Regions from separate parts of the Mus musculus genome. Here all the other regions are reported to be linked to region 1. The links are microRNA targets in miRTarBase. Many come from high-throughput screens and were not tested one by one. Region 1 holds a microRNA gene; each other region holds the end of a gene's coding sequence.
Evidence for each region. Region 1 holds the annotated microRNA mmu-miR-30d-5p (UGUAAACAUCCCCGACUGGAAG, at 4,944-4,965, shown strand). A microRNA usually pairs through its seed, bases 2 to 8, with sites in the 3' UTR of a target mRNA and lowers its output. Matches are read on the target gene's strand: a 7mer-m8 pairs with bases 2 to 8, a 7mer-A1 pairs with bases 2 to 7 and ends in A, and an 8mer does both.

Region 1 (10,768 bases):
CTCCCTGCCATACCCCATGGCTAAACACTGTAGTTTGAAGCCCATGTGTCAAGCCTGGTGGGCTAATCTGTATCTAAACAATGATACTTGTCTGAACAGCCACCGTAATGGCAGCATTTATTATTTTACATAAAAACCCAGTTAGAAGATAGCAGATGTAGCTCATAACTCATAGCACCCAAAAAGCTATGTGTTTCAACCTCAACACACACACACAGGGCAAGGGTGAGATGACATGGGGCAGGATTGGCTCTACTATTAAATTATACCCCGTCGTCTTTATTCTTTTAAACAGGGTCTCATGAAGTTGCCCAGCCTGGCTTTGAACTCCTCTTGCCCCATCCTCCCAAGTACCTAGGATTACAGGCCCATGCCAAAAGACCAAGCTAATTCTTGGTTTTTTAAATAATTTCAAAAGGTAACATAGGGACAGTGATCTTTTTGCTTGTTAATTTGTGCATTTTAACTTTATGGCATGCCTAACCCTGAAAAAAACTAGCACATGAAATGAAGTTCATTGTTGGTTTCTAGTCAGAATCTTAAAGACAGCAGAAATTCAGAAAACAACATAAGGGAGTGCTGCTGCAATTAGGGAGGGACCATAGCCTCCTTCTAAGCCTGTGTCTTTCAAGAGCTTAGAATTTTCTATAAAACTTAAACATTAGCTCTTGACCTGGTGTGTTTTATTTTAGCTCTTAAGTCTGTTTTGTAAAGTTTTAATCAAAAGGAAAGATACTTCCTGTCTTCCATACAAAGAATGTTCACATTTGTATTTTTTAGAGCCCATTTCCGTACTCCAGAGTCTGCCTTTTTTGAAATAATATCTTTTATCTACAAAAGACTTTCTGAATTTAAGTATCCATAAGACCAAAATCTGTAAATATGGCATACATTGTTGAGAATATTAGTTGATTCCTGACAACTATATTACATCTGCACAAAATATTAATGACAGCCATTTTTGACAGTCTAATATGGCAGGTGATCTGACATTATCCTTCCCTGGGGTCATGTGAGGATAAAGCTGTTATTCATCTTTCTCTTTCTCTTTCTCTTTTAGGAAGAAGAGAGCTAGAGTTTTAGAATTTTAACTGAGAAAATTAGACTCAAGTTACTAGTCTAAAATATGATGAACACAAATTATATGACTGTCACTCCCTTATTTCATGTGGAAAAGGTGTGGAACGGTGGATGTACTTTCTACAAAGGGTAAATAAGGTAGACAAAGGGAAGACTTGATGTTTAAGGCACCTCCTTCCATACTACACTTGAAAGTGCCAGGTTGTAGAAGAGCTCTGTGCAATAACTAATCATCCTTCTCAGTTAACAGTACAGGTGGCACAGCGGTGGTACAGGAACAGACTCTGGAACCAGGCTCTGTGGGCGGGCTCTGCACAGGTGCCTTTTATTTACAAAAATAGGATGATGCAATTCCTGTCATAGTGTTGGGGATTGAGCAAGTTAATGTATATGAACCAGTAAGTATACAAAGAGTACAGATTATTACTCTTTTTTTTTAATGGATACATGTCTGTTATTTTTCAAGTTGCTGGTTGTAGTGATGTTTTTGTAAACAATTTGACATTTGAACTAGATCTTGAAAGACTTTTAAAAAGTGAAATACAAACAATTCAAAATTATAAGAGCCACATGAATAAAGTAAAGGATGATTTTTATTTCCATTTATTTTATACTGGCCATTTACCTGCCATTGAGCTTTACATTATGTTAGTCATTTCTGGCAATAACTCAGTAAGATAGGTACCTTAAGGGATTTTACAAATGGTAAAAGAGTCACAGAAAAATAGTCATTTTCCCAAAGTCCCAAAGTTAAATGTTCGGCCTAGTTCTGTCAAATTGTAAAGCTCGGGTGGATTCTTAATTACTATCTATAGAGCACTGCCTTCTGAGAACAGACTTTCAGAAGATCGCCCCGAGAGTCTCTGGTTGTGGCTTTGGTAGTCATTTTAGGAAGCCAAGAGAGACATACAACACAGGCCTGTCTTTTCTGAGAACATTGTTGTTCTGCAATTCTGTCAGCTAAGAGTGCTTGTGTATGAACTGGAGTAAGCGTGCTTTGGTTATTGAAGCTTGTACTATTTTCCTTGCTAGAAATGATACAAATTTCCCATTGATATACTGATTGACACCATAGACTTCCCAGTTACCCCTTGTATTGCTGGAAATGGTTCTCTGTGAGTGCCCTTTGCAGCTCCTACATCAAAGAGATGTCTACAGTTGTAGTCCCAGTCTTCAAGCATCATGCTATCATTTAGTGAAGTTTGTTTAAAATGTACTTAGGATAGTCTTCATTTTGCTGCTATTTATTCCTTACTTGTCACGTCTTCTTGTTTTGAAACTACTGGTGAATTGATGATCACTTAGATTTTTTTTTTTTCCCCATCCAAACACCATCCTGGCCTTAACAGAACTTAAAAAAAAAAAAAAAAAAAAAAAAAAAAGCCCCTTCTCCTCTCCTCTTCTAGTAAGTACAGTTATTTCTCTTCCATCCAGTGCCTTACAGCCCTTTCTTTAATGTCATTATTTCTCATAATTCTGAAGTTGAGAAGTTGTGACTCAAAGACCAGTATCTGGTAAAACTTCACAGTGTATCCTCTGATGGCAGAGTAAAGAACAGAGGTGCAGAGAGGTAGTGGGCAGCATATAGTGGGGAGATGGGATGGATTTATACTGTATCAAGGATCCTTCTCCACATAATTCACCCATTTCCTATGTGTTAGCATTACTCTGTTCATTAAGGAAAGACCCTGTAGTTATTTGTCACCCCTTATAGACCTCACCATTATTACCTCTAGCGGTTTTCAAACACATTAACTTTGAGAGGCATATAGAAACCATAACAGTTTCTTATAACAATTGTTTTGGGCTGGAGAGATGGCTCAGCAGTTAAAAGCACTGACTGCTCTTCCAGAGTCTTGAGTTCAAATCCCAGCAACCACATGGTGTCTCACAACCATCTGTAATGAGATCTGATGCCCTCTTCTGGGGTGTCTGAAGACAGCTACAGTGTACTTACATATAATAAATAAATAAATCTTTAAAAAACAAACATAAAACAATGGTGTTGAAAATATCTTCATTATGGATTGTTACATGTTAGTTCTATTAAGGTATCTAAATTATTTTCTACATTGTACAAGAGAAGTTGTGGCAAATGTGGTATAGTATATATCTATGTGAGCATTTTGACAAATTGACTTTATGAAAACCTACAGTTTGATGCACAGCAATACTGTTCCACTAAACATTTTTGTTTGGACATGCATGCCTGTATGTTTTTCTATTTTTGCAAAGTATTGGTAAATGGAAAAGTAACGTGCTACTACTTCTGACATTAAGAAGAGTAATGCACTGTTAGTCAGAGGAGCCCAAGGCCCCCAAGCAATACACCCAGTCACCACTGCTGTTGGTTACCTGCCAGAAATGCTGAAGATACCACATGCCTTGGTCATAGGACTTAGAGAAAATAGTTTGGAACTTGGCTGGAAACTTATTGCTGGCTAGCCTCCATAGTGCTGGGAGGTACTACACAGGCTGATGGGAGAAGCTTATCAACATTCATACTCAGCTATGAATCCTGTGTACAACAGTAGCAGCTAACTAGGGAAAATGAGCCTACTTATGTAATAGTGGCAAATCTGTTATGGGAGTAATCAATTGCTTTCTGATTGGATTTGGTTGATGCCTATTGTATAGGAGGCAATTCACATACAGTTCTGTAAACCTGGTCAAAAGATTTTTGTTGGAAGGTCCTACTGGGACAGTTACTGCTGTTGTGCTAAATGAACATGAGATGCAGCAAAATGTCTTCTAAATAACTGTTTATTTACATAAAATGGTGCTACTATAATAAGCTTTGGTCAGATAAACTTCTTTCAGCATTTTATAAAGATGGCATTGCGACAAAAATCCCTTCATAACTCTAAAGAAAAGATTATCTGGCAAACTCTTCTTAATTGTTTATAAAATATAAACTAAAGACAAAGGGAAAAGTTGTTTAAAGAAAGTTGTAATAATGTACTTGGGTACACCAGTACACCAATGTTACAGGGCATTTTCAGTGGTTAGAATCTTTTACTTTGTAGTATGTATTTAGGAAGTTTGTAATGTTTTAGATTTGCATTAGCTTGTTGAATGTTTATTCTTGTGTGGTGTAGATGCTTGTGTATGACTGTATTTCTTAGAAATCACTGGCTTTTTGTAAACTTAATTGCTTCAATAGACTTTAATTTTTTAAGTTAATTTATATGTCTCAGATTAAAGTTAATCTATAAAGTACAAATTTACTATTATCACTTAATCTTTCTTTTCTCTTTCAGGAAACTAATAGAAGAAACAAAAGCAAAATGTTTCGGTGTTGTTTTGTAAGCAAAGCCAAGGCGGGTATTGTTCCTCTTCTTACCCACTTAGTTCATTTCCATGGCCCACATTCCTAACCTAGTTCAGCTAAGGATAGGGAGGAAGATATTAGAATCTTTCTCAGCATAGAGTTACTGCCAGCAAAACTTGTGTCTAAATTAAGACAGTTTGGTTAATGAGAAACTTCAATTCTAATAGTACTATCACTTAGGACTGTCTGGGAAAACTGAGATGTATGGTCAATCTACTTTTTAGATTGTTATTTATTATTAATTTTGAAATTCTGGATTTGTGGAGAAGAAAGAAAACATATACATCTGGTAGAAAAATGTGTCCATGTGGAGTAACATAGAAAAGTTTGTATTGAATCTTTTCTAATTAGATAATTCAAGAGACATTACTATCTTCCCTTATTAACTAGTATTGTTTACTTTATTGTTTGTCTTTTCCCCCCAAGATGTCACAGTTGTCATTCAGCTCCGCAGTTGTGAAAGTCGGTAGCGGAAGCAATGACTGACCATTTGCTCTGTTCCTTTGTAGCTTGCTGTCAGAAAGTCTGTGTCTGTAAACATCCCCGACTGGAAGCTGTAAGCCACAGCCAAGCTTTCAGTCAGATGTTTGCTGCTACTGGCTCTTCGAATGCATCTTTTGGACAATCTGGCCTAAGGATTGGAGCTGAGGATGCTGAGAAATGCCTGGGATGCATCAGAAATCTTGAGGAGCATTCATTTACTGCTTGCTTCTGCTGGCAGCTTCTAATGTTGGGAGCTGACTAAACATGCTTCTTCTGGCCTTAGAGGATCTGTCTAAAACAAGTTTTAATACTGTTTTTGCCGTGTCAGTACAAGTTTATCCTTTATACCTTTTTCAAATAGGCTAGAGTTTAACTTCCTAACAATCCTGAAAACCAACTTTCTTCCCTATAAACTCTGTAGGTTATTCATGTCTACCACCCACCCAGCAGTCTACAACCTAGGAATTTCAGGTTTCCCTGTACTTAATTTGTATGTAAATGTTTGCTTCCTCCTCCTGTGATGAAACTAATCTTAATCAGAGCGTTCTTCTCAGTCTGGAAATCCCAAACCACTAGACCTCTTCACAACATCTGCTAATGGTTCTGTATGCCCTTGTGGATTAAACTAAGCTACCTGATAGCTTTAGGTTATTGCTTGGCTCCCAGCTGCCTTGGGAGTAGTTGTATTGTTTTCCATTTTTATTTCTCTCCACAATACTAAATAATCTAGGCTTTCTATCATAGACAAAAATTATTGTGAACCAGTGTAATTTCATAACTTACTGAGGTTTTTGATTGATTGGGTTTGGTTTTTGGTTTTGGTTGTTTTTTTTTTTTTTTTTAACTTTTACAATGTTTTCTCACTTACATTTTTCTTTGGGTTACTATTAGCTTTATTTCTTAAGACGTTTGTTTGCTTGTTTGTTTGTTTATTTGTTTGTTTGAGAGAGGGTTTCACTGTGTAGCTCTAGTTGGCCTGTAACTCCTAGAGATCCACCAGCTTTCTAGAGATCCACCAGCTTTCTGCCCGCTTAATGCTGGCATTAAAGGTACACACCACTATACCCAGCAGACATTATTTTCGTTACTATTAAGCTGAGTTAGGTTCAGTTTAGACTTAAAACAGAAGATACAGTTCCTGCCAATCTGATTTCTTATATGCTTCTCCTGGATTAGATTGTAGCCTTTCTGGAGACATGGATATTATGTCTTTATAATTCTGCGTTTTATACCATATGTATAAAATGTGTATATTGATATACAGTACTCTAATAATGATTTTATTCTAATAGTATATTTCCATTTACTTGTTTATTGGTGCTGGAGTTTGAACCTAGTGTTCTTGAACATGCTAAGCAAGCGACCTACTGCTGAGTTGCATTTCCAGTTTTTATTATGGATCCATTTAAGTACTACTTTGTTAGAAAGGTAGTGTGCAAGACTAATTTAAGAGAAGAGCTTGGTTGATCATTTTTGGACAGAGATATTGCTAGGAGCCCATAAAGTTCTCTGTGCCAAGGTAGAGTGTGATGTGTCTTCTGTTAATAGAATTATTTTGTTTGGCCAGGTGGCATTGGTTATTTTCCATAAAACCTTGATGTGTAAGTTAAAATTCAATGGCATGGATAAAAACTACATGGTTTACTTATTTAAAAATTATTTGAAGTGTTTTTTTAAATGGTAAGTCAAATCTAAGCTAAAAGAGGAGGAGTCATTATGCACAAAGCTACCATCCTCTGCTTACCTAGTCTAGTTATCCCTGGATGCTTCAGGGTTAATGCTAGTCTAGTGTGAAACATTTGTTGTGTATTATTCTGCCCTAATGAAAGAAAATCAGAGACCATGTCCGCTTGCGTCCTCAATGTTCTTGGTTCTATGTATTTAAGTACAGCCTTTTCGTCATCTGCAGATGACTTATTTATGTTTTAACTTAAAAACACCACAAACTTCATGTTGGCCTGCACCATTGACAGTTGAATGTTGAGCCATGAAAATTGGGTTGTCTTTCTTTTCCAATAAACTTAAAACAGATTGTTTTCTTGGCCTTTAACTTAGGTTTTCAGGAGAAAATGTGTAAATTTTGGTACAGTTTTAAAAATCTCAGAAATTTATTTACTATTGTATGTTTGTTTATTTTGGTCCAACGAATACTAAATGTCGAGGTAGTTCTCAGCCATTGTACAAATGATATTATTCCTCAGTGTATGATTTAGGAGTTAATTTTTAAGCAGACAACTATAAGTATATAAAGTCTGAGTTAATACATTCTACAAATCTATTTCAGAAATATTCATAGAAAAAAGATACATTTTGGTTGAGTCCTCATTGTCTCCATGGTCTCAAGTCTCTCTCTGCACAACAATAGTCTTGGTGTAGTTGAGAAAGGACCATAAACCTCTAACCCAGAACATATTCACTGTTGCATTAGCAGGGTCCAACTTGGATTTTGTTACAACTGCATTCATTGGATTACTGTTCTGATATTTATTGTGCATGCTAAGTTTTTGAAAAACAGGTTTAGTTTTATTTCCTGAGTTTATGCACCTTTTAAACTTATTCTGTCTTAGATTGTTTGCCTAGGCTGGTTGGCGAGGGTGAACTGTAAGGTACAGGTTTTGAGCTTGTCAACTTTTGTCAGTAGTACATTATGCACACCCTGATTATTGGACAGTCACTGCTGCCAGTGCTTTAGCTTCCCAATGTACTTAGGAAAAACAGCTTTCAAATACTACTGTGCATCACAATTACAGTGAGCTTACTAAAACACAGACTGCAGGACCCCAAAAAGAGTTCCATCCCTAGTAAGTCTGGGATAGAGCTTAGGAATCTGCTTTATTTCCTAAGTTTCTATTGTTGCTCTAGAACTAAAATCCAGAGCACTCAAATTATAGGTGTGTGTCACCATGCCAAACCCTAAAGTTTGATTGCAAAAAAGGACTGGCCCACCCCAAAGAATTAAATGTGTCTACAAAAAACAGCAGGAAATCAGACAAGCAAACTGTAATTGTAGTGAAAACAGGAAAAAGCAACATGTTTAAAGGGGAGAAAGGAGTTGGAGGTGGGGATAGATTAGTTTTGAGAATGCTGCTCCAGGAAAACAGGAGATTCCTGAGGTGATGGCGTATCTTTGAAATGCCAGGAAGTTTTAGTTTGCTGACAGTGTTATATGTAATTTTATTTCCTAATTTAAGGACTTCTTCCCTGATGAAAGTATTCCAAGAGTAACTTTTAATGTTTAGTAAAGGAATTTGGTGATTTTTTTTTTTAATTAAATCAGGAACACAGAAAGGGGTAGATGTCCTTGTGCTACCCCTTGCTACCATGTTTTAAATAATGGCCCATGGTAGAGATATGGGAAAGCCATGCCTGTGGTGCAAGGACCTGGGTGTTAAGGAAGAATAGGGGATTGGTACACCGTATTGCCCATCAAATGGGCTCCTATAAATGGAGGTGCAGTTGTTTAGAGAGAGGGAAAGGGTGGAGAAAGTTGAATGCTGTCAGAACAGTAAGTTGCCTTTAGGTGGGAAAAGCTATAGAATTCCTGTGTTCTTGCCATACGTGTGTGTGTGTGTGTGTGTGTGTGTGTGAGAGAGAGAGAGAGAGAGAGAGAGAGAGAGAGAGAGAGCATGAAAGAGAGAACGATAAATGTTTGCTGTTTCTGTGGATTCTATACTTACTCTGAAGATATCTTTCAAGTTGATTTTGTCCTCATGTAGATCACTGTGCCTAATTTTTTTTTCAACAGATTCTGCAAAATTGTCTGAGCCTCAAGTAAAAAACCAAGTATAAACATAGTAAAGAGTTCTCAAGTCTCTCTCTAAGCCAAGTTTCAGTTCATGTAAACATCCTACACTCAGCTGTCATACATGCGTTGGCTGGGATGTGGATGTTTACGTCAGCTGTCTTGGAGTATCCACCAGTTAACATATTGATACATGACTTAAGTGGCATTACAGGAGTATATCACCATGCCCAGCTAAAGGGCACTTATTATAAATACTGTTTATATTTAGGTTTTCAGTAAATACTTGCTGTACTATTTAAAATAGATACTTGTTTATCTTAATATAGATGATACCAATATTTTGATTCAGAAGTAGTGTAAATCTTACATATCACTGTAATTTGTTGCTAAATAGCCTTAAGCCTAGCTTCAGGTTCTATAATAATTAAGGAAAGTATTAATTTTCCTGGTCTCCACTTCTTTGTCAGCTGAATTGCATTGTCATAGTACCTGACAGGATTGTTGATGAAGTGAGTCGATGTCAGTTGAATGTTCTTGACATACGGTAGTTATCATTATTGTTACTATTTTAAGATTTTTTAATCCATTACCCTTTTCACAGACCTGATTGGTCTAACTGCTACTTTTATATTTGTACCAGGCAGACAGGTTGATCAATGTAATAGAATTGAAGACTCAGAAATAAAACCACACACTTATGGACACTTGATATTTGAAAAAGAAGCCAAAAAATATACAGTGGAAAAAAGAAAGCATCTTCAATAAATGGTACTGGTCTAACTGGCAGTTAGTATGTAGAAAAATGAAAATAGATCCATATTTGTCACCTGGCACAAAGCTCAAGTCCAAGTGGATCAAGGACCTCAACATAAAACCAGATTCACTGACTCTAATAGAAAAGAAAGTGGGAAAGAGCCTCAAGCTCATTGGCACTGGGCTGGGGAGGTGGGGGTGGGTATTTCCTAAATAGAACTCCAATGGCTCAGACTCTAAGATCAAGAATTAATAAATGGAACGTCATGAAACTTCTCAGCTTCTGTAAGGCAAAGGATGTAGTCAGTTAATCAAATTGGCAACCTATAGATTGAGGAAAAAAATCTTCACTAACACCACATCCCATAGAGGCCTAATATCCAAAATATAGAAAGAACTCAAGAAGCAAAAACCCAAACAACCGAATCAAAAAATGGGGTATAGAGAGAGCTAAACAGAGAATTCACAACAGAAAAATCTCGAATGGCCAAGAAGTACTTTTAAAAATGTTCAAAGTCCTTAGTCATCAGGGAAATGCAAATCAAATGACCCTGAGATTATTTACACTAATCATAATGGCTAAGACCAAAAACTCAGGTGACAGCTCATGTTGGCAAGGATGTGGAGAAAGAGGAACAATCCTCCATTGCTGGTGGAATTGCAAACTGGTACAACCATTTTGAATATCAATCTGGAGGTTTCTCAGAAAATTGGAAATAGATCTTTCTGAATACCCAGCTATACCACTCTTGGGCTTATACCCAAAAGGTGCCCCACTATACCACATGGGCACTTGCTCCACTATGTTCATAGCAACCTTATCTGTGATAGCTAGAAGCTGGAAACAACCCAGATGCACCACAACTGAAGAATGGATACAGAAAATGTGGGTCATTTACACAATTGAATATTATTTAGCTATTAGCAAGGACATCATGAGTTTTGCAGGTAAATGTATAGAACTAGAAAATACTCTGACTGAGAGAACCTAGACCCCAAAGGACATGCATGATATGTACTCACTAATAAGTGGATATTAGCCAAAAAAAAGTACAGAATACCCAGAATACAATCCATAGAGAAGGTTAACAAGCAGAAGGGCCCATGAGGACACTCACTTGGGAGGGAGAAGAAAGCCATCAAGGGAAGCAAAGGGAGGGAGGAGGGATCTGGGGAGGGGAGGGGAAAGGGGGAACATGATCAGATATAGGGGTGGTAGAAACAGGAGAGAAGCCCTGAGGGCCAGCAGAATAAATGGAGATATGCAACCTTGAGGGGGGGAGTGGGGGGGGGAACCCTCTAGAAAGTAGCAGAGACCTGGGAGGTGAGATACTCTCAGAACTTAAAAGGAGGGACCTTAGATGAAATGTCCAACA
Region 2 (10,768 bases), not on the chromosome of region 1:
GAGCGTGCTGGTGAAGAAGTCCAGCTCTTCCTCGGAAAAGGGCACGGGGCTATCGAGAGAACCCTGCAGGCTGGGTGAAAGGCCTCCGGACATCTGGAGACAGGAGTCTGCAGCGAAGAAATTGAGGTCCGGTAGAAAAGGCGAATCCTGCCGCTCGGGGCAGGCGTCTTCGGGTAGGGGCTCGCTCTGCCGGCCTCCGGCTCTGAGCATTGTGCAGCCGGGGCTCGATGCGCCCACACTCTCCAGGGTGGTGGCAGGCAGCGCTGACGGCGGTGCGCCCCGGGGTCCCTGCGCGGCCTCGGCGGGGTGGAAGCAGGCTTCCCGCAGCCGGTGAGTCGCGACGTCGCCCGGGCTGACCGTGGGTTCCTCGGCTGGCTCTCCCGCGTCGTCCTGGGCGCTCGGCCCGCCTGGTTCTCCCTCGGGCGGCTCTCGATGCTGCGTCTGCCGCTTGTGTTTCATGCGTCGGTTCTGGAACCAGACTTTGACCTGCCTTTCGGTGAGGTCCAGCAAGGCAGCGATCTCGACGCGACGCGGCCGGCACAGGTACTTATTGAAGTGGAACTCCTTCTCCAGCTCCAGCAGTTGCGTGTTGGTGTAGGCCGTGCGCAGTCTGCGGGAGCCGCTGCCGCCGCATTCTGGCAATCCGGGGCCATCTGCGAGGGAAGCACCCCTATGTTATCAGAGAGGTCTCAACGCAGCCTCCGTTTAGCTGAGATCGGGAGCACCCCTTTGGCTTAAAAGACTCTCAGCAGTCCTACTCGGGCTCCCACCCCACCCCCACAGCGCTTCTTTCTGTGTCTTTGGGGTTTTTTTTAGTGCTCTTCCACGTAGGCAGACCCGGCCCGGGTCAAGTCGGTGCCTTCAGAGCCGCCCACGGGCCACGTAGGGGGCGGGGAGCAATTTCTCTTAGCTCCCAGGACCTCAGAGTCTCCCTCCCCCAAGTCCTCCCAATGGACCCCTCAATTCAGAACTTTCCAACTCAACCTGGGGAGAGAGGGATCATAGATTGTTCTTCACCCCTTTCCTTCCTAGCTTTTGAATTCCCTCTTCTTCCCTAGCTTTAGGAGAGCTAGAGGCATCGCATCTTTTCCAGGCTCCAGATTCAATCCCAGACACGCTTCATTCCTCTACACAGAAACCGGGGAAACCCTTCAATCGAATCATTTTTTTCTAAGCACATTTAAAAAAAAAAAAAAAAAAAAAGCATCCTCCCCACCCTCAATCAGCTTCCAAAATTTTCTGGGGGTGGGGAAGCTAACAGTGGCTAGGCCTGAACCCCAGCGGGATACTCTGCTTCCCTCGCCCCAGATCCGTCGACCTAGGGAACCCCACCAGGAGCCCCATCACCTCACATTCTCCCCTTCTCTTCCAACTGCCCCTCACCCCGCCCCTAATACGTTTACCCACCTGATGGTGATCCGACCTCGGAGGCCCGGACCGAGGAGGCGGCTGGAGAAGGGGATGCGGCGGATTGGCTGGGTTTCTTGGTGGATTTCTTCTCTTTCATCCAGGGGAACTCGGGGGCTGGGGGGGCAACGGGGAGTGGCGGCGGTGACCGCAGAGCAGGCCCATCTCCGGCTTGCTTTTGGCTCCCTGGTCTCTGAAGGGTGGAGGCGCCGAGCTGGAGGCTGGGGAAGGTTTGCTCCAGAGGAGGAGGAGGAGGAATTAATGTCGACTCCTTGATTGATGAAGTTTGAAATGTCTCCAAGACAGCGGGGAAGGAAGTCAGACACTCGGCGAGCGATGGCTGGCTGTTTATAAACCCAATCTCCCTCTCAAATTCAAAATTCATGGCTTTCAATGGTGGGGGAGGGGGCCTGCTGGGGGGGGCGTCAGGAGGGAGAATCAGAGGGACCCCCCTCTCCCGCCCCCCCCAGGTTTATGCAATGGAGCAATTTCGCGGGGGGGGGGAGATTTCGCTCTCTCTCTTTTTTTTTTAAATTTAGGCCTTTATAATTGTATATTGCTGATAAATACAAGCGTATGGGGACTCTCTCTATTAAACCCAGGACTCCGCCGAAATTGCAGGGAATTCATGGTCACGGGACCGGTCTCCGCCAATCGCTAGTCTAGGCCTAGTGGAAAACACAGGCATTATTTGCTTTAATTGATTCAAAAACTCCAGAGGACCACGACCTGGATACCATGAGGCTTCCTCCTCTACCCCTGTTCCTTCATCAGTACCCTACACTCTCCCTAATGGCTCTCTTTTCCCAGAAAAGCCAAAAGAACCTCTTCCTTCCCTTCAGAGACTGTGTGGTGGTGGCAAACAACCACATTTAAGGGAGAAATGGAGTGAGTTAATATGCTTTCTTTATGTGGCCCTCAGTAGCCTCTTACCCTACCACCACCTCAGCCCCCAAAAGAAAAGAAAAAAAAATCTCATTTAGGGGGAAGTGGGAGTAGAAAGAGGCTTCCATACCTTGGGGGAAATCAGAAAGGAGATGGATAAAGGACAGCACTAAACACCAGCAGCAGCGGCAGCCCACCCACCCTCAGAAAGCAGTAGTTCACACTTAAGAAATGCACAGAGCTGGCACGCAGCAGGGACATAGATTCCAGGAGCACTTTGGGACATGGGCCTACCTCCCTTGCTATGTGCCCTGGATTCTAGTCTCTGCTCAGAATTTACAAGCAGTTTCTTATGTCCACTTGCCTTCCTGTTGGGGTCATCTGTACTCACACTGTGACACCCCAACCCTGGCAATAGGAGGGTCTAAGAAGGTCTAAGGTGACAGATGTATTCACAGGCCCCCAGGTGTATCTGTGTCTCTATCCAGGGCACCAAAGTAGCCATCCACTTAACTTTCAAAGCTAAAGTCAGTGCACAGTCGCCCTCTGGACAAAGGGATTTCCCCCTCTGTATTTGCCTTTGGGCTACTTTTAAAATCCCTGGTAAGAAAACATTTCCTAAAGATGGTGGGGGAGAGGGGGCTGGGGATAATGACCACCACTGAGATTATATTCTGCTTTGGGCCTCCAGAGAGAAAAAAAAATGTAATGTATTCTATGGTGAGGCACCTATGATGGGCTCAATTTTAGAATATTGTGATTTACTAGAGGAAGGAGGCAAAAAACAACAAAAAAAAAAAAAAAAAAAAAAAAAACCAAAAACAAAAAAACCTCAGAGCCACAAGCAAATTGGTGGGAAACTAGGCCTCAAAGCTGAAAATGAAAAGTCGGCTGGGGGAAGATTTTTAAATAAGTGGGTCAGAGGGACCAAGAGGAGATGAGGCGATCAATCTTAGCCCCCTGACAGCTCCCTCCGATTGCATCAAAGAATTTGGCTCTTTGGGAAAGCAGAGGGAACAACCTAAATTGCATATCCCTTAAAAAGGCCTGAGGGAGGGGGGAGCCAAAGAGAAAGGTGATTCTGGGAGATCTAGGAAACAGATGGGAAATGGGGACAGAGGGAAGGCGCTAACTTGGGTGGAAAGTTTGCCCCGGAGAACTCCCACGGCTCTGGCCTCCCCTCCCCCTCCTCGCTCTCTGTCGCCTAGCCTAGAGGAGAAGGCTGCTTAGCAGAGAAATGGCAACTCAGCGGAGAGCTGGAACTAGAAACTTTCTGTCAGTGTAACGTCCGCGTGGGTGGTGGTGAGTATTTAAAGAAAGAAAGAAAAGAAAAAGGCAGAGAAGTTTGCCGGGAAGCGGGAGGGGGGGGGAAGGAGGGAAACCTGGAGGTGGTGGTTGCAAGGACAGAAAGAGGCAGGCTCTTGGGAAACTGCTCTTAACTAGGCCAGCGGCCAGAGAGGGTGTTGTGTACCTTAGCTAAAACAAAACAATGTATGCATATATTTTCCTGGATGGTGGTTAGCAGAGGAGAATCCAAATAGTAACTGTCTGGAAGGGAGTCCTGTACAGTAAGGCCTGGGAGAGGGCCTTCTCCCCGGCAGCATGGGCACTTCCACAAGTTTTGTAACAGGCACTCCAGCTGGCTGCAGCATCCAAGGATCTCCTAAGACAACCAGAGCCCAGACTGTCCTGTAGGAAATACAGCTCTCTAACCCTTGATGACAGATTTTATGGCCAGATTAGTGAACAGTAGAAAACTTGGGTGTTAAAGTGGGGATCCAAGAAAACCCTCCAACCCTCCCTCCCTTCCAGAGACATCCGTCCAGCCCTGTCTGCTACCTTACAGAGCAGATTTTTATCCATGTTTTTAAACAGCTTTAGACCTAGAATCTGGAAAACAGAAGGGTAGGTCCTATTTTTGTTTAGAGCCCTAGCTCCAAGCCACAATATATCAATATAGCTAGCTAAATTCTCTCTTATCTGGTTCCTCTTCAGCTAGATAAATAAGCAATCCACCCTTCCCCTCACAGTCAAACATGACCCTTCTCATAGTTATATCATTCAGAAATGGTATTCAGGGAAGAGGAAGAGAAAAGGAAAGACAGACCCTTGAGCGTTATTTGATCCCAATCAAACATTGCACGCTCCTCTGCCTTTAATTTATAGCCTGGCCCAATGCTAAATTGCTTGCTGCCCAGATGAGCCAAGTCCAGTTAAAAAAATTCTACTTGGTGGGGAGGGGGCGTATTATTCAGGTTGTTTTTTTATTGTTATTTATTGTTGCATAAAGACTGTAATTACTAACCTTGGACTGCCAGGATACAACATAAAAATGAAAATCAGCCCTCGCTTTAAGGCTGAGGGCCTGGAAAGATTCTTATATCCCCACCCCCCCCACCCCGTATCACCACTACCACCAAATATATGCTCCTAATTAAGCAATGCGGGTTCATCGCTTACAATTAGAATTATGTAACTCTTCAGCGGGCAGCCATCGCTTCTCTTTCAACGAATTAGCTCCATATTTCAGCCTCCCCTGTCTCCTCGCTCTTGCTCTTATCATCGGATACCGCTATGCGGTGGTGACATTTCATCTTTGACAGACCCTCTCCATCCTCGCTCCAATGTGATAAAACTTTTATGGAACCAGGACTAAGAAATGAAGTTTTCCCAAGCATCGTGGAAACAGAGCCTCACGTTAGCCTGGGGACCATTTTATTTAAGCTTGGTTTCTACAGCTTCCTCTCGCCCCCTTCTCTTCCTTGGCAGGAGAAATCTAACCAGTCCTCCTCTTCCTCTGCCCTGGGCTTCATTTAATGATTAGATTTCGCTTTAGTTTTAAGGCTTGACCTGAGAAGTCTAGGCCTCGGCTTGTTGTCCCCCCCCCCCAAGATTAATCATTTTCCTTTGTTTTCATTTTAGACCCAATGATGGTTGGGCTTCGGGTCACGTGACAGCCTCATTGTAGCTCCGGAAGAGAACGTGAAGTTTAGGTTGCCTGGAAGAAGCAGTAATAAGCTAGGTTTGGGGTTGCCTGGATGTAAACAGAGGGGGTGCCTGGAGGTGCTGGTCAAAGGGACAAAAGAGGCCAGTGACTAAGAAAAACAGACAGGCAAAGAGCAGACTTAGCCCAAGATTCCCTCCCCTCCCTCCCGCCCCCCAAGCTTGTTGCTTAAACCTTAGCTGAAGAACTTGGCAGAATGGTCCAGACTGGTACAAATGTCAAAAACTGAGTTGAAAGCAGGAAACACTAGGAAGGGGAGACAGCGACCTGAGCAGTGAGCAAAGAGCCTGGGGAGTGTCACCAATGCCCTCCTGCTAGGGGACATTTGGCCACTAGAGCCTTTTTCTGCACCCTGAACTGGACCACCATGACAAGATAAAATTAATAACAGAAAGTTTATTCAAGAATTGTTTTGACAGACAACTCTTTTAACTAAGGGGGAAAAAAATAACTACGGAAGAACAAAGAAAGTTCCAAGAGAGAATTAACTTCTTATCTCTACAAATTCGGGACTATACAGTGACATTTAGGAGCTGAGTTCATGCCTTTTAGAACTAATTACAATTCCTCATATGTACGAGTTTAACATAAATCTACAGCTCTTGTCTAGAATACAATAAAAACTAAAATAGCTGGTTTTACATGACAGGAAACACAACAACCTTTATAACAAGTAAATACTAAAAAAGTACATTTTTCTTTTTTTTTTTTGTCCCTCATATAAATACATAATGTAGGGGGATAAATAATACAAAAAAGAAAATATTTTAACAGGCTATAACCAATAAATATATATGAAAATGTTCACTAGAACACACGCTTTTTGAGCGAAGCTGGACTTTCTGCAGGCCCAGACATCTCTCACAGTTGTTTTTTTTTTTTTTAATATCCATTAAAATGTAAACTCCAAGTGCAACAAGACTGTCCTGTCAGGAACTGGAGCAAGGTCCACAGGTCCAGCTGCAGCACCTGCCAGGACAGACAGTTTGTTCAAATATACCCTGTTTTCACGTTAAGTCAAGAGAAGAACAGAAGTAAAAAGAAAGTGGAGGGAGTGGGATGGGGTGGGAGCTGAGAGACTGGAGAATGGGCAAGCCTCCAGTCCTGACAACTTGCCTGCCTTAGCCTCTTAACTTTTCTTTAAAAGAAAAAAAATATATATTTATTTATATTATAGGCAGCTCTGACTTTCAGGATATCTTACCATCCCTGAGCCCTCTGAAAATTGTAATCAATAGGGGTGGGGTGTAGATATGAATGTCCTTAGAGCAGAAAACCAACCGTAGGGCCATAGTAAATGATAGATATAGTAAGAAGCCTAACAGATGGGGGATGGGGGGAGTTGAAGCTTCAGGGAAGTAGGAGAGAAACATACTTTGTGCCCTTCGATTTAAATGTATTTTCTTATTTTTCACAGGGAGACTGAAAGGGAGAACAAAAAAAATCAAGATTTTGGGGAAATTACCCACAGAGATGCAAGGTAAGTTGATTGCTTGCTGATAGCCAAGCCATTAAGTGTTGAATGTGCTTCTCTGCCCTGCTTGCCTGTCTTGGCTCCCTCTACCCGACTCCACGTCACCTCTCCAATCTGAAATTCCCACTTGGTAGTGCTGGAACCCTGGGAACCCTGGGATTGATGTGGTCCCGTCTCCAACCTGCTGTGGATTCCTTTCCAAGGGTTGTTGGCAGACAGATGGAACCAGGCATGGAGGACTTAAAAGACAGCCCCTGGGGGCGGGGAGGGGGCCTGGGAGCTGGGAAGGCACCCCAGGCCTGTTCTGTTTCTGGAAACCTGGCGACAACCCCATCCCACACCTCTTTCAGGACTCTAAACCGCGCCCATCCCCCAAGTCCGCCGTCTCCCTGGCCCTTAACCTCACCCCTCCCTCCCCAGCCCGCCCCTCCCATCACAGGTGTGTCAGTTTGGGCGCTTCTTGGATTCTACCCTGAGGCGGTGCGTGGTGAGAGGAGAGGTCTGTGTACGTGGGGTGAGGGTCACAGGGTCCATGATGCTGGTTGGGGCCCATAGGGGCCGCCCCGTTGTAGTCCAGGTTCCCCGAGGGGTGGTGGGAAAGGTGATTGAGGCCGTAGAGGGAGGGGCCGGCAGGGGGCGGCAGCGGATCCGCGTAGCCACCCCCGCCCACATACACCGGACTGCCCTGCATGGTGGGCGTCCCGTAGGCGCCCCCGTTAGCTTGGAGGACGTGGGGCTCATACTCCGACGCCGGGGTCGGGGGGTACTTCTGTGGGGCGCCGCAACCCTTAAGAGGGGGCTGGTAGTTGGAAGGCAGCGCGTAGGCATTCTGGTGGCCTTTGCCGAAAGCTGGTGGGGACGGGCTGTCGTAGCTGGGGGTCATGGAGTGTAAGGCGTTCATGAAGCCGGCCGTGGACTGCATGGGCTGCGGGGGGCTTCCGGCCGGAGAGGGACCCCCAGAGGACGAGGCCAGCCCCTTGGCCTTCTGGTCTTTCTTGTACTTCATGCGACGGTTCTGGAACCAGATCTTGATCTGGCGCTCGCTGAGGTTCAGCAGATTGGCCATCTCGACCCGGCGCGGCCGGCACAAATAACGGTTGAAGTGGAACTCCTTCTCCAGCTCCACCAGCTGCGCGCTTGTGTACGCCGTGCGCGCCCGCTTGGACGCGGCCGACCCCGGGGGGCTCTTGTCCCCTCCCCCGCCGCCGCCGCCGCCCCCGCCGCTGCTGCCGCCGCCACCGCCGCCGCCGCCGCCACCACCGCCGCCGCCACCACCACAACCTTCTGCTGGACCCGAGGGGGGAGGGGTGGGAAGGGGAGAAAATGAAATAAAAGATAATTACTGAACACGCCGAAATTGAATGCATCGTTTCTTAATAAATCCAGGCCTGGACTCGGAGGCCCCGCTGCCCTCCCCTTCGCGTCCCCACCTCCTCTACACCACCACCCCCCCCCTTCCTACCTCCCGTCGCATTAGCGGACACTCTATAATAGTGGCATTTATTAAGAGACCTGTTCTCCTTTCACGGCCCCAGCTTATGAAAATTTGATCATGTCAAACAGACAGAGCTGCGTGGCCATTTATTTAGGGCTAGGATTTTGCGTGTGCGCGCACCCTCCCCGTATATCCAAATCCAAGTCTGAGGTGATTCCTCCCTTCTGTCCGCCCTCTTTACAAGACAAGTGACTGAGAACACCTTGGGAGGGGGGCGGGGGGGGGGAGACTGGACACTGGTGGGCAGGGCCTGGATGTGTGGCACATAGAGGCTCGGGTGGCTGCAGGCCGGGACCCCAGGCTGCCTGAGCGATGGTGATTAATACCTACAATAATCATACTTAATAATAATCTATCCTTGATGACTCTGTGCCTCCAGGCGGTGCGGCCTTGGGAAGGGCTGTAAAGCCAACCATCCCACCTCCTGGAAACTCTTGGAAGCCCAGATGGAGGATGGTTGGATGGACTGGGTGTTGGTCAGGTCAGAGGTCATCAGGTAGTGAGAGGTAGCTAAAAAGCACTAGGCAGCCATCTAATATTGTCTCCAGGCCGCCTTGTGGGCGCCTTGGGGTCGGATGCTATAATAACAGTGAAATTCCTGGGTTGGACAAAAGCTGACTAGGAAGGCAGAGAGCTGGTACCTGTGCCGGGGGAGCTGTTTTTCAGCTTGGACGTTTGCCTCGACTCTTTCATCCAGGGGAATATCTGTTTGGTGAGGGTGGAGTTGGAGCCGGCACCGCACTTGGGGGGGCCGCTTTTGCTGGGCCCACCCCCGTTATTGCTGTTGCTAGTGGTACTGGTAGGTGCGGCGCTGGGTGGGGGTGAGCCCGGAGGTGCGGGCAGGGGCTCTGGGGCCAGGCCTGGCCTCATGCAGCTGCCATTGAGCTCCTTGCTCTTGGCATGTGGGGCGGCGTTGCCCAGGGACTGCAGAGAACACGCTGAGCGCTGGTAGTCACCCTCCAGGTGCGTGGCGGCCTGAAAGGGGGGCTGGGGAGGCCCGTCGTAGCCGAAACCATTGCTGCCAGGGTACGAGGAGTAGCCTCCGAAGAGCGCAGCTGCGGTGTTGTCGTAGTAGGTGGCTTTCTGCATCGCTGGGCGAGGCCCGGGCAGTGGGTGGCAACTTGCAAGGGCCTGATACCCTCACGACCGGACATTGGCACCCCTGGGGGTCACGTGACACGCCGGACCCCCCTCCCCTTTCTGCCCCCCTCCTCTCGGGTCTGTTCCAAGCGGCTGACCTGCGGGGCGAGAGAAGAGACAGAGGGGAGAAGAGGACTGGGCCTCGAATCCATCTTAGGAACTAAAAAGGGAACTGACATCAATAGTTTTTTTTTTTTCTTCTTCTCCCCTCGCCAGTATCTCTGCAGCAGACGCTGAGACCAAGTATCTAACCTGACTTGGATGCTTCACACTTCAACTTTAATTTTAACGGGAAAAAGAAAACATCCATTTTCATTTCCATTTTTTTTTAAAACAAAATCAAGACTGTACTCCTTCGAGGACCGCTTAGGAATAGAACACCACTGCTTCGTGGACCATTGCCCCTCTCTCTGGCACCCCGAAATAACCAACCCCTGGCCTCTTCTACAATTTTTCCTTAACCTCCCCCACCCCCGCAACTCCCCAACCCTGGGATGGGGCAATCCCAGGGAGAGGGCACTATTAGACTCTAAAGTAGAAGCATCCCAGAGGTCCTCCTTCCCTTAGGGAGGCCTCTCTGCTTCCAGTCTTTCTTCCTTCCATATCTTTCCACCTAAGCAAAGTCTAGCCTGGAACTTGCAGATCTTAGACCCAAGCCAGAATGAAAAGCAAATTCATCTGGGACTCTTCCCTCCAAGATCATAGCAGCCTAAGGCAGAAAACTCCTGAAGATTTTTAACCCCAGAGGCAGTGGAACCAAGTTCCATCCATCTATGTCCCATCTGAAGGTACCATCACCTCCAGTCTTGACTCAGGCAGGCCTGGGACCTAGCAGCCAGAGGCCCCTGTGGAGCGTCCAAATGGACCATGCTTGTTTAGATTTCCCAGGCAAGACCAGTTGGTGCTATGACCATTTGGCTTGGGTTTTCCCCACCCCCAATCCATAACAATCTGTTTTCTTTTATTTCTCAGGGAAAAAGAAAAAGGAAAAGGAAAAACTGTGCATCTGCTGGAATCTCTTTTCTACTGAGATGGGGGAAATTATCCAGGATGAGAAAGACTCACAAAACAATTTGAACACTATTCTTCTCTGGATTCAAAGGGGAGGCTGTTTACTGAGGTTCCCAACAGCAAAAAATAAAATAAAATAAAATTATGGTCACTATTCTAACACAGTCTTTTTAAAGTGCACCCGAAAAATAAAGCTGGACCGTGTCAGGAGGTTTTGTATTTGTTCTGAGATTTCTGACTCTTTCTCTGTCCTCTCCAGTCCTCTTATGGGTACTTCCCTAAAACCTCCAGTCTGATCCTCTCTGTGTCATGTGCTTTGAGCAAAACTTAAACTATCATTCAGCCCAGCTGG
Region 3 (10,768 bases), not on the chromosome of region 1:
GAATTGAGAGTTCCTCTTGGAGGATTTTACCTTTGATGAGTATGAAGTGTCCCTCCTTGTCTTTTTTGATAACTTTGGGTTGGAAGTCGATTTTATCCGATATTAAAATGGCTACTCCAGCTTGTTTCTTCAGTCCATTTGCTTGGAAAATTGTTTTCCAGCCTTTCACTCTGAGGTAGTGTCTGTCTTTTTCCCTGAGATGGGTTTCCTGTAAGCAGCAGAATGTTGGGTCCTGTTTGTGTAGCCAGTCTGTTAGTCTATGTCTTTTTATTGGGGAATTGAGTCCATTGATATTAAGAGATATTAAGGAAAAGTAATTGTTGCTCCCTTTTATTTTTGTTGTTAGAGTTGGCATTCTGTTCTTGTGGCTGTCTTCTTTTTGGTTTGTTGAATGATTACTTTCTTGGTTGTTCTAGGGCGTGATTTCCGTCCTTGTATTGCTTCTTTTCTGTTATTATCCTTTGAAGGGCTGGATTCGTGGAAAGATATTGTGTGAACTTGGTTTTGTCGTGGAATACTTTGGTTTCTCCATCTATGGTAATTGAGAGTTTGGCCGGGTATAGTAGCCTGGGCTGGCATTTGTGTTCTCTTAGTGTCTGTATAACATCTGTCCAGGCTCTTCTGGCTTTCATAGTCTCTGGTGAAAAGTCTGGTGTAATTCTGATAGGCCTTCCTTTATATGTTACTTGACCTTTCTCCCTTACTGCTTTTAATATTCTATCTTTATTTAGTGCATTTGTTGTTCTGATTATTATGTGTCGGGAGGAATTTCTTTTCTGGTCCAGTCTATTTGGAGTTCTGTATGCTTCTTGTATGATCATGGGCATCTCTTTTTTTATGTTTGGGAAGTTTTCTTCTATTATTTTGTTGAAGATATTAGCTGGCCCTTTAAGTTGAAAATCTTCATTCTCATCAATTCCTATTATCCGTAGGTTTGGTCTTCTCATTGTGTCCTGGATTACCTGGATGTTTTGAGTTAGGATCCTTTTGCATTTTGTATTTTCTTTGACTGTTGTGTCGATGTTCTCTCTGGAATCTTCTGCACCTGAGATTCTCTCTTCCATTTCTTGTATTCTGTTGCTGATGCTCGCATCTATGGTTCCAGATCTCTTTCCTAGGGTTTCTATCTCCAGCGTTGCCTCACTTTGGGTTTTCTTTATTGTGTCTACTTCCCCTTTTAGTTCTAGTATGGTTTTGTTCATTTCCATCACCTGTTTGGCTGTGGTTTCCTGCTTTTCTTTAAGAGCCTGTAACTCTTTAGCAGTGCTCTCCTGTAAATCTTTAAGTGACTTATGAAAGTCCTTCTTGATGTCCTCTATCATCATCATGAGAAATGTTTTTAAATCTGGGTCTAGATTTTCGGTTGTGTTGGGGTGCCCAGGACTAGGTAAGGTGGAAGTGCTGCGTTCTGATGATGGTGAGTGGTCTTGATTTCTGTTAGTAGGATTCTTACGTTTGCCTTTCGCCATCTGGTAATCTCTGAAGCTAGCTGTTTTAGTTGTCACTGTTAAGAGCTTGTTCTTCAGGTGACTCTGTTAGCCTCTATGAGCAGACCTGGAGGGTAGCACTCTCCTTAGTTTCAGTGGGCAGAGTATTCTCTGCAGGCAAGCTCTCTTCTTGCAAGGCAGGTACCCAGATATCTGGTGTTCGAACCAGACTCCTGGCAGAAGTTGTGTTCCACTCACTAGAGGTCTTAGGATCACGTGTGGAATCCTGTGTGGGCCCTTGCGGGTGTCAGGCGACTCAGCTGGCAAGGTAGCCGGGGCTCGAGTGGAGTGGAAGGGGTTTGTGCCCCAGATCAAGCCCGGGTAGCCTGCTTCCCTATGTACCGCAGTCTCAAGTTCCACGCGATTGGATTGGGGTAGGCGCTGTGTTCCACTCACCAGAGGTCTTAGGGTCCCGTGGGGAGTCCCGTGTGGGCCCTTGCGGGTGTTGGGCAAGACTCTGCTGTCAAGGTAGCCCGGGGCTCGAGTCTCGAGTCGAGCGGAAGGGACTTGTGCCCCAGATCAGGCCCGGGTAGCCTGCTTCCCTATGTACCGCAGTCTCAAGTTCCGCGCGATTGGATTGGGGCAGGCACTGTGATCCACTCACCAGAGGTCTTAGGGTCCCGTGGGGAGTCCCGTGTGGACCCTTGCGGGTGTTGGGCAAGACTCTGCTGGCAAGGTAGCCCGGGGCTCCGGAAAAGAGATTTTAAACTAGAAATTGTTGCCCTTGAGTTACTTGATTTTTCTGGCTGAGTTTAACTTGTAGAAAGTTTGTAGTGTAGCTAAAACTTAGGATTTATTCAGAGGAATGGACAGTCAGTAGGACCAAGATCCCTCCTTGTGGGTAGAGCAGTGGGAAGTTAACAGCTTTCCCTATCTATTATGAGTCCTTACCTATTGTTTATTTTTGCTCTAAAGGAAAACAGAAGAAAGGCACCTTGCTATGCAGGTAAAAAGCTGGGTCTCAAACCACAGAACAGCATGGAATGGACTAAAATGAGAGTTACCTGATTTGGGAGGAGTTGAGATAGATGAGCTACAAGTGAATATAATCAAATTACAGGCTATATGTATGAAATTCTCAAATTGTGCATGTGTGTGTGTATATGTTTTTTAGCAGATTCCCTCCACAATTATGCTTTCATTTGAAAAGACTTCCTAAGGGACCACAGCCAAAAACAGAAGCATGTTTTCCACCTATTTTGTCTAGTAGGTCTACTATACCAGTCATATGGGCAATACAAATAGTAGCAGAATCCTACTTCAGGCCAATTGAATTTCTGGTGTGGGGGAAAAGGTTCAACTTAGTTGAAAAGAATCCTATAGGATGCTGGCTGTGGTGTTGTATGTCTTTAATCTTAGCACTACGAGGATAGCCTCAGGTACATCTTGAGTAGAGGTCAGCCTGATCTATACAGTGAGCTCCAGGAAAGCCAAGTCTTTTACTTAGTCACAAAATTAAACAAAAAGTCATCTAGGTTACTCATACATAGCCTAATATTTTAATTTGCATTTAAGGAAATTATTGATGATCAATTGATTAAGGCACAAAAACTTAGTGAAGAGGCCTGGGCCACTTTGATATCTTAATTCCAGTTAATTTCCAATGAATGCGATCAGACTAGGTAGACTTCAGCAATGCTTTTGCTACATACATACACACACACACACACACACACACAGACACACACACACACACACACACACCCCTTGGCAATCAAAACCTACCATTCCCTAACTGAGCAGCACAGACACAGATCTCATTTTCTGTAAAATGCCAATTCCCCTCTGATGAGATTCTCTATCTTCTAATTTCCTTCTGACTTTCCTGGATTCATGAGATCCTGGGGTCACTTAGTCTCTTTTCTGGTTTGAAAAGGGAACCCAGGGATCTTTTCCATTGTGCTCCTTTTTGGTGGAGGGTTAGCACATCCTGTGACTGACTGCAGAAGTGCAAATTAGTCCCTGAAAATGTACAGAAACTTCAGGAACAGGTCTTAGAGTGTAGATGGTGTGACAAGACTGACTAAGATACATGGCACAAGTTGAATGAAATATGGAAGTTTCCTCTAATTTCCGTTTCAGCTTTGGCTTGTTTTGCCTATAGAATGACTCCCTTAATACCATGAGGTTTTTTGTTTTTTTTCAATTTTCCTTTAAGAGAAAATCCATCACCCATAGATCACATGAATGCTGTTGTAGAACAAACAACAAGAAAACACTTTAGTGACTGGAGGTCCCTCATGAGCACAGAAGTTTATTAGCATTCAGCAAATGAAATATATGTTGTAACATACAGGCAGTGTATCAGGATATCCAGATGCCAGTGAGTGCTAGGGATGGAGAGGTAACAAATGCAGATGATTCCATGATGTCTCAGGAATGCGGAAGGGAAGCTCAGGTGCAGCAACAAGCTACAATCCCCTTTCTGTCCTGGAAGAGAGAACTCTTACACCTAGACTCATATCTTTCTTCTTCCCCCAGCCATTTTATTTAACGTGACCTAAATATACATTTCTGGTTTACCCCAGCCCTTCCCCACCCCCATATACAGCGGGGAAAATAAGCACCAATAGTAACAGGAATAATTAAAGCCCCCTCTTAATAGACCCAACCCTCACAAATGTACATGCCATGTGGATTTTCTTCTTTGGAATGACTACAGGATGGAGAAACCGTGGATCAGGCCACCCAGCCATGACTGTAACAGTCACCATTCCTAAAAGTGCCATCCTGGTTAAAGAGACAACTCAGCCATTAAGGGCTAAGACTTACAATAAAAAAACAAAACAACAAGAGTTCAGTTTCCAAAAGTACCATCCACTTGTGAGCTGGAACAGGGAAGGGAAGGAGGAGGCAGGATGTGGAGAGATTCTCCCAAAGTAGCAAGAGGGACCAAGGAATCACCTAATGCCTTTTCTGGACAATGTTGCCATCTTCTAAATTGCTGGCAAGTCTCATTCAAGGGTGTCTCCCAAGGAGATGACCAATTCCTGGAGGTTGAAATAGCATTGTCATCTGTCATCCCGAGTCTCCTGGTGTTGAATGAGCCCCTAATGCTCCATTGGAGAAACTTAATACAACAAACCACACAATATGGGCATGATACTTTGCAAAAAACAAGCACAAAATATAAAGAAAGGAAAAGAATAAAAGTCAAGAGGCAGGAGTACTTTCAAAACGTCTACACAAGAGAAGGAAGGGCTCAAAAGGTAAATAAAATGAAAGCTAGAAAACATGCTGTCTGCCAGGGTCCACATGCTTGCGTTACCTGGTATTGGTCTTCGGTACATGGGCATCTTCTGTCCTTACCGTGTGGAAAGAGAATGAATAGTGTGACACAGCCAGGTGGGAGAGGGAAAAGAGGGAGGGTCCTAGACACTTTGAGATGACATCCCTCTGCACGAGCAGCAGCATTTTTTGTGTCATCTTTTTTTTTTGTTTAAAACTGTAAACAGCACCGCTTAAAAATAAAATATATCAGAAAAGAACAATTGATAAACATTGTTTCCATGAATATAAAATGCAAACAATATAAAAATAGATAATTAGCTTTTGATATATATATTTATATATATATATTAAAAACAACTTGGATGCAACATACACATGGGTAAACTTGAAGTATCCCTGGTAAACCCCCATGCCTCCCTCTAGCAAGTGAGCCTAAGGGCTGAAGGCAGTGGTGGCACTGGTGCAGGTGAAAAAGCCACTGGTGGCAGGATGAAATCATGCACCCAACATTCTGAGTGTGGAAAGCTACTTCCCTCCTTGAAATAGCACTAAGAGGAGGGACACTGGCATTTACTGAAACCATTATCCACGAGGCTTGTGGTCTGGTATCTAAGCTAAAGCCAGATGATCCCCAAGGCAGAGCTTCCTTGGAGAATCTAAAGCACCAAGAAATTGGCATCCTGGCTTTGGAAGAGGCCTGCTAGGTGGCTTTCCATACCCACAGTCACTGGTCCTCTATGGACTGGGTTACTAAGAAATTCTCAGGATCAGAGCTGACACTATATAGTAGTACTGGGTAACAACATAAAGCTAGCCTCCTTCTGTCAGCACATCTTCCCTTAAAGTCACATCCAAATGCATTGTCCAAGGACCTGCAATGGAGTCAGGAGGTTCATCTGGCCACAGCCTTAGGGTGAACACAATAGCAGCACTTCTGGTAGTTTGTAGCATATTTGGTGCCAGCAAAGGAAGTACTTGTCCATGTTTGGACAGATACCTAGAGATTGGTTACATATCCCATTGGTAATCATGTTGCCATTACCATATATCCGCAGCCAAATCTTCTTTCCCCTTCTAGGCTGCAGTTAGTATTTGCTTTAGATACTCAAAAGGAGTCTGCTTCTGTAGACATCTTGGCTATCCCATTTTAGGTTGTAAATATTTTGTCCCTAGGCTAGCAGCCAGATCAGTGAAAGGACTTGGAAGGCAATGATGTTACCCAATCCACAAACTTCTACTTTGCCTCAGGTCCTACTCTAAGGTATGAAGTTTCAAAGCATAGCAAAATATATCCAAGTTATAGCAGGTCCCTTCAGAGATATTGCACTGTGCTGTCCTCCTGAACTGTGAGGGTAGATTCCTTCTTCCTCTTCCAAACAGGCTGGTAGCCCTTCTCCAGTGGGCTATGGAGGCTGTGGACAGCTCTAGTGCCTGCTGTAGATGGCAGCGACATGTAAACAGCAACTCAAGCTACCTTGACTAGGCAAGAGGTGTGGCTTTTCCTGTTGTAAAGGCATTGAGTGCTTACTTCCTGCCACCCAACCAGGCTAAGTTCAGCCTCACCTTCCCAGAACAGCTTTGGTAGGAGGCCAAGTGGTTAAAATCTGGGCATGTGTCTCTTATGACGATGTGGTTGGGGTAAGGAAGGCCTTTTTCACTTTCATTATCCAGATCCACAAGAGATGCACTTCTTCGTGATGTAGCCAAAGTCATCCAAGAGAGCTGATCTGAGGTCCTTGAGGGGTGGTTCTAGTGCTGGTGCCATGCAAAGTTATGAAGTTACTTACAAGGGGTTAGATTTTACCAATCAAATCTGCTCTTTTGGGGGAAAGGCACAGGGCCAATCCCAAGCTTAGAAACTGTGAAAAATATTATGAATATATGCCCTGGCAAAGAAAGTATGTCTACAAAGCAATCTTGACTCAGAAGGCCACCAGCATCTGTTCTCAAGGTAAATTGCCTTATTTTGAGCAAGAGCCCTATTGATATCTTCACTTAGTAGATGTGAAGATGGCTTTGAGGTGAGAAGAGGGACATGGGCAGAAGATTTAAAAAGTTCTAACTTTGATCAACATATCGATCCCCAAAATATTTCATATTCCAATACAGAAAAAAATTTAAAACAAGGTCTATCTTGCTATGTAGCCCTAGTGGCCTAGAACTCACTATGTAGAACAGGCTGGTCTCACACTCATATAACTCCAATTGCCTCTTCCTTCTGAGTGTTGAGATAAAAGGCACATACCTCCACACCGGGCCTGATGGAGAATTTTAAAGAAACTGTTTCATATAGATGATTAAGGAAATGTTGAACCTGGTCAAGATGAGCCTGTTGCAATGTTTTCCTGACACCAAGCTCTTCCCTAGTGTTTCCAACATTTAGGCTGGGCTTGCTTGGAGGCAGAGGCAGGTGGATCTCTGTTAGTTAGAAGCCATCGTGGTCTACATGGTAAGTTCCAGGCTAGAGAGAACTACAGTGTGGGACCTTGTCCAGAAAAAAAATATAGAAAAAAGAAAAAGAAACCTGCATGGATGCAAGAGAAGAGAGGGTGCTGTTCATTTCAGAAAGGACTGCAACTGCCATGCAAATCAGCCCTGTAGTTTGGCAGAGCAAGGGTACATTACAATCTTTCCTCTCAAGAAGCCTGGTCCTTTGAAAATGCTAAGAACTTGGCTAACTGGAAGATAAAAGCTTTTTAGTGTGCCTACAACAGGTGAGATGCCTTTGGCATCCTGTCTTAGACAAGCTTGGAACCACTTTACAAAGGGGCGGCCAAGGGTTTATTTATTTATTTACTTTTGGTTTGGGAGAAAGGATGGGAAAAGTTTTCCCTCCTAATCTGAGTTGCTTCAAGTTCCAAAGTCTGAGATCCCTTCTTGGTGTTTAGATAAATGGATCACCCTGTCTGTTTTCCTCTTTTGCATCTCACAACACCCAATGCTCTATATAGTCAAGCCCAATTTAGGTGGCTTCTCTTCCTTTAACTCAGTTAAGATACTACATTCATTGTGATGAGATGAAATTTTTCAGGGACAGGAAAAGGGGGAAGTTCTAAAATGCCTGCAACAGCCACAGGCTTAGGAAACAAACAAGATAGATATATTATTATTCCACAGCTCAAGACCTCACAGCATTTTCCATAAGCTATCTATCTTTGTATTCTGCTTGAATATGGACAGATTTAATCACCCCCTTATGAGGATTAGTGTTTTTGTCTTCAATCTAGACTATGGCAGGCCAGGTTAAAAGGACATCATCTAGTTGTGATACCAAAGTCCACAGCAACAGGGAGCGAGACACATGCTACTTGACCCACTCTAAACATAACTAACTGGGATAAATAGGTTATAGTCATTTGATGTGCTAGAAAGGAATGGGGTTAGGAAGGCTATGTACCATAACTTTATATTGCTAATAGCTAGCAAGCCTCCCATCTCTGGGTGAGAGTCAGTGCAAAAAATTGGCTGCTCATCAGTGGTTCATTAGTCAGCAAGGGACCAGAGAAGAGGGGTTCAGCCTGCAATAAGGATGCATCCCAAGCCCTGTATAGGTCACAAGAAACTCCAAAGCAAAAATTGGAGCACAGAAGCAGCAGCCTCCCTAGGCAGATATAATTGAGCTGAACCTGGCCAAAGATGGCAGAGGAAGGTGGGCAAAGTGAAAACTCAGAGGAGTTTATCTTAGCCAATAAGATTTTCAAGTGGAACAGCACTACTCACCCCTACCCCTCTGCCCAACCCTTGACCCCCAATTCACATGCTCAGGTCTCCATTCTGGAATTGATAACTACTTGGCTAGGTTTCCATTCATGGCAGTAGAGGAGTAGCTGGTAGAGAGAGAGGCACCTTGCTCACCCCTCTCCTTTGACAGGTCAAGGTTGGAAGCTCGATAGTGATTGGGTTGAAGCTGGAAGGGTTCAGGCCGCACCCTGGGCAGCTGAGGGATACCATGGGTGATACCTACAGGCTTGGCTTGAGACTGAGAGTTGGCTCCAGAAATGGAAGAGCAACTGGGCTCATCTACAGGCAGCAGTACATCCCGAGGCTTGGCCCTCCCACTCTGGGAGGCCTGTGATTGAAGGTTATAGCAAGGGCCCATGGGCAGGGGTAGGTGCGAAGGTCGAGCTAGCTGAGACACAGAGTCTCCAGGTGTTCTTCCTGGCACTGACACTGGCATTGCCACAGGAGGTACACAACAGGTTGCCTGCACATAGGAAGACTGATTGAAAGGCTCATACAACTGATTAGGGCTCATCCAAGCAAGACCTGGCCCCACTGGAAGAGGACAGTGAGCCCAGGGAGGCCAGTCATAGACCCCTGGAGGTTCAGTGTAGAGAGACAAGGGACTATCCCGACCCCATTCTCCTTCCTCTTCTTCACCTTCTTCATCTGAATCTTCCTGGTGGGCCTGGAGCTCATCAGACTCCATGTAACCCTGGGCTAGGTGAGAACTGGAGAGCTCCAGCTCCAGAGACTCTGCATTGTCAAGGGAACGGCTTCTCCTATTGAGTGCCATTGCAGCAGGAGGAGGTCGAGGGTGGACTCCGGGGAGTCCTAAGTATCGAGGGAGGCTGCTAACTCCCCAGGGCAGGCCTTGGTAGAACCGACTGTGATAGCTGTTGAAGGCATGTTTGTGGTAATAACCCAGCTCAAAAGCTTCCAAGGAGGCTGTAAGATCTTCGTCATTGTTGAACTCAGGATTCTCTTCACACTTGCCTTCTCCATCTCGTTCCACGTCAGCAATATCAAAGGTGACCATGGGGGGCAGCTCAGGGAGGTTTTGAGTGAAGGATGAGTCAGAATCAGAGCTGTAGGACATGCTGGTAAAAAGGTTTCCATTGCTGGTGAACTCTACTAGGGCCTGTGAGAAACTCACAGTGGCATTCCCTTCCTTCTCCTCTTCTTCTTCCTCTGGCTCCTCAGGGGGTGAGTAACTAGGGTACGCCTTCCTGGGTGAGCCTCCAAAATTTGCTTCTTGCATGTCTGGCTCAAACATGGCATCACTCTGGAAGAGCTGCATTAAACAAGTACTTTGATCTTTTTTGGAACAAGTCCCCTCAAAACGCTTCTCCAGAGGACGGAAATCCCTCCAGTCTGGCTCACTGCTAGAAGTAGCAGGGAAAGCTGAAGTGGTTCCCCGGTGAGAAGTCTGAGAACCTCCTGATGTCCCTGCCACCAGACCCATCACTGAGGGACCTAAGGGCCTCATCTGATACTCCAAGGCAGGCTTCTCCTGCCGTACCTTGGTCTCTTGGACTCGACCCTCTTGAGAATGAGCCTCTAAGGCCTGAGTTTCTCGGGCTCGGACATTTCTGCCATAAGATTCCCGAGTATGGGTGTCTCGGGCATAAGCTTCTCTGGCATGAGCCTCTCTGGCACATGCCTCTTGAGCCTCACGCTGCTCCCGGCGAAGTTCCCAGTATAGCAACTGCTTCTGGATGGTCACTAGCCGTTCTTCCTCGGTTTCCATTGCCCCAGGTGGCCGAGAAGAAAAGGGCTCCAAGTTCAAGAAAGGATCCAACATCTCTGAGTTGCGTCCACGGAGGTCATATAGGCAGTCATCCCCAGGTGGGGAGTGCTCAAGACTGTCATCTGGCTCATAGAACTCATATAGCGCATCACCACTATAGCTGTCCCTGGGTAGACAATCCCTGTGGGCAAGTCCCAGAGCCTCACCTGAATCATCCTCAAATCCTGGTGTGGTAGAGTCATAATAACCTTCATCACTATTGGGAGCAGACTCTTGCTGGTCGCTCTGAGGTGTCAAAAGTTCTCCAAGGCCTAGATTAGGATAAGACTGAACTGGGTCAAGAAGCATGTAGCCCTGGTGGCTGGGAGATATAGCAGTATGGTAGCCCAGATTCATATTAAATCTTGGGTATATCTGGGCACTTGCCCACAGATACTCTAAGTCATCATTTTCCTCTCCATCCTTAACCTCCTCTTCATCCTCTAATAATTCTTCTTCTTCTTCTTCTTCTTCTTCTTCTTCTTCTTCTTCTTCTTCTTCTTCTTCTTCTTCTTCTTCTTCTTCTTCTTCTTCATCATCA

Region 2: the mRNA of Hoxb3 is a reported target of mmu-miR-30d-5p. Seed matches in the 3' UTR shown: 7mer-A1 at 6,195-6,201.
Region 3: the mRNA of Amer1 is a reported target of mmu-miR-30d-5p. Seed matches in the 3' UTR shown: 8mer at 6,171-6,178 and 8mer at 4,934-4,941.

What each region holds. Positions count from the first base shown.
Region 1 is chr15:68,335,454-68,346,221 of GRCm38, reverse strand. It overlaps Mir30d (microRNA 30d), which reads left to right and starts at 4,933; the gene lies at 4,933-5,014. Mir30b (microRNA 30b) reads left to right here and starts at 8,712; the gene lies at 8,712-8,807.
Region 2 is chr11:96,342,835-96,353,602 of GRCm38, reverse strand. It overlaps Hoxb3 (homeobox B3), which reads right to left. Exons shown (of 4, transcript NM_001079869.1): 3 at 8,907-9,503; 4 at 5,673-8,057. The coding sequence starts at 9,354. The coding sequence ends at 7,204. Hoxb2 (homeobox B2) reads right to left here and starts at 1,971. Exons shown (of 2, transcript NM_134032.2): 1 at 1,408-1,971; 2 at 1-653. The coding sequence starts at 1,792. It overlaps Hoxb3os (homeobox B3 and homeobox B2, opposite strand), which reads left to right and starts at 209. Exons shown (of 4, transcript NR_155303.1): 1 at 209-543; 2 at 5,215-5,309; 3 at 6,714-6,776; 4 at 10,378-10,569.
Region 3 is chrX:95,416,607-95,427,374 of GRCm38, forward strand. Amer1 (APC membrane recruitment 1) reads right to left here. Exons shown (of 2, transcript NM_175179.4): 2 at 3,707-10,768. The coding sequence ends at 8,506. Among named protein-coding and RNA genes, the nearest start is that of Amer1, 23 kb to the right of the region's middle.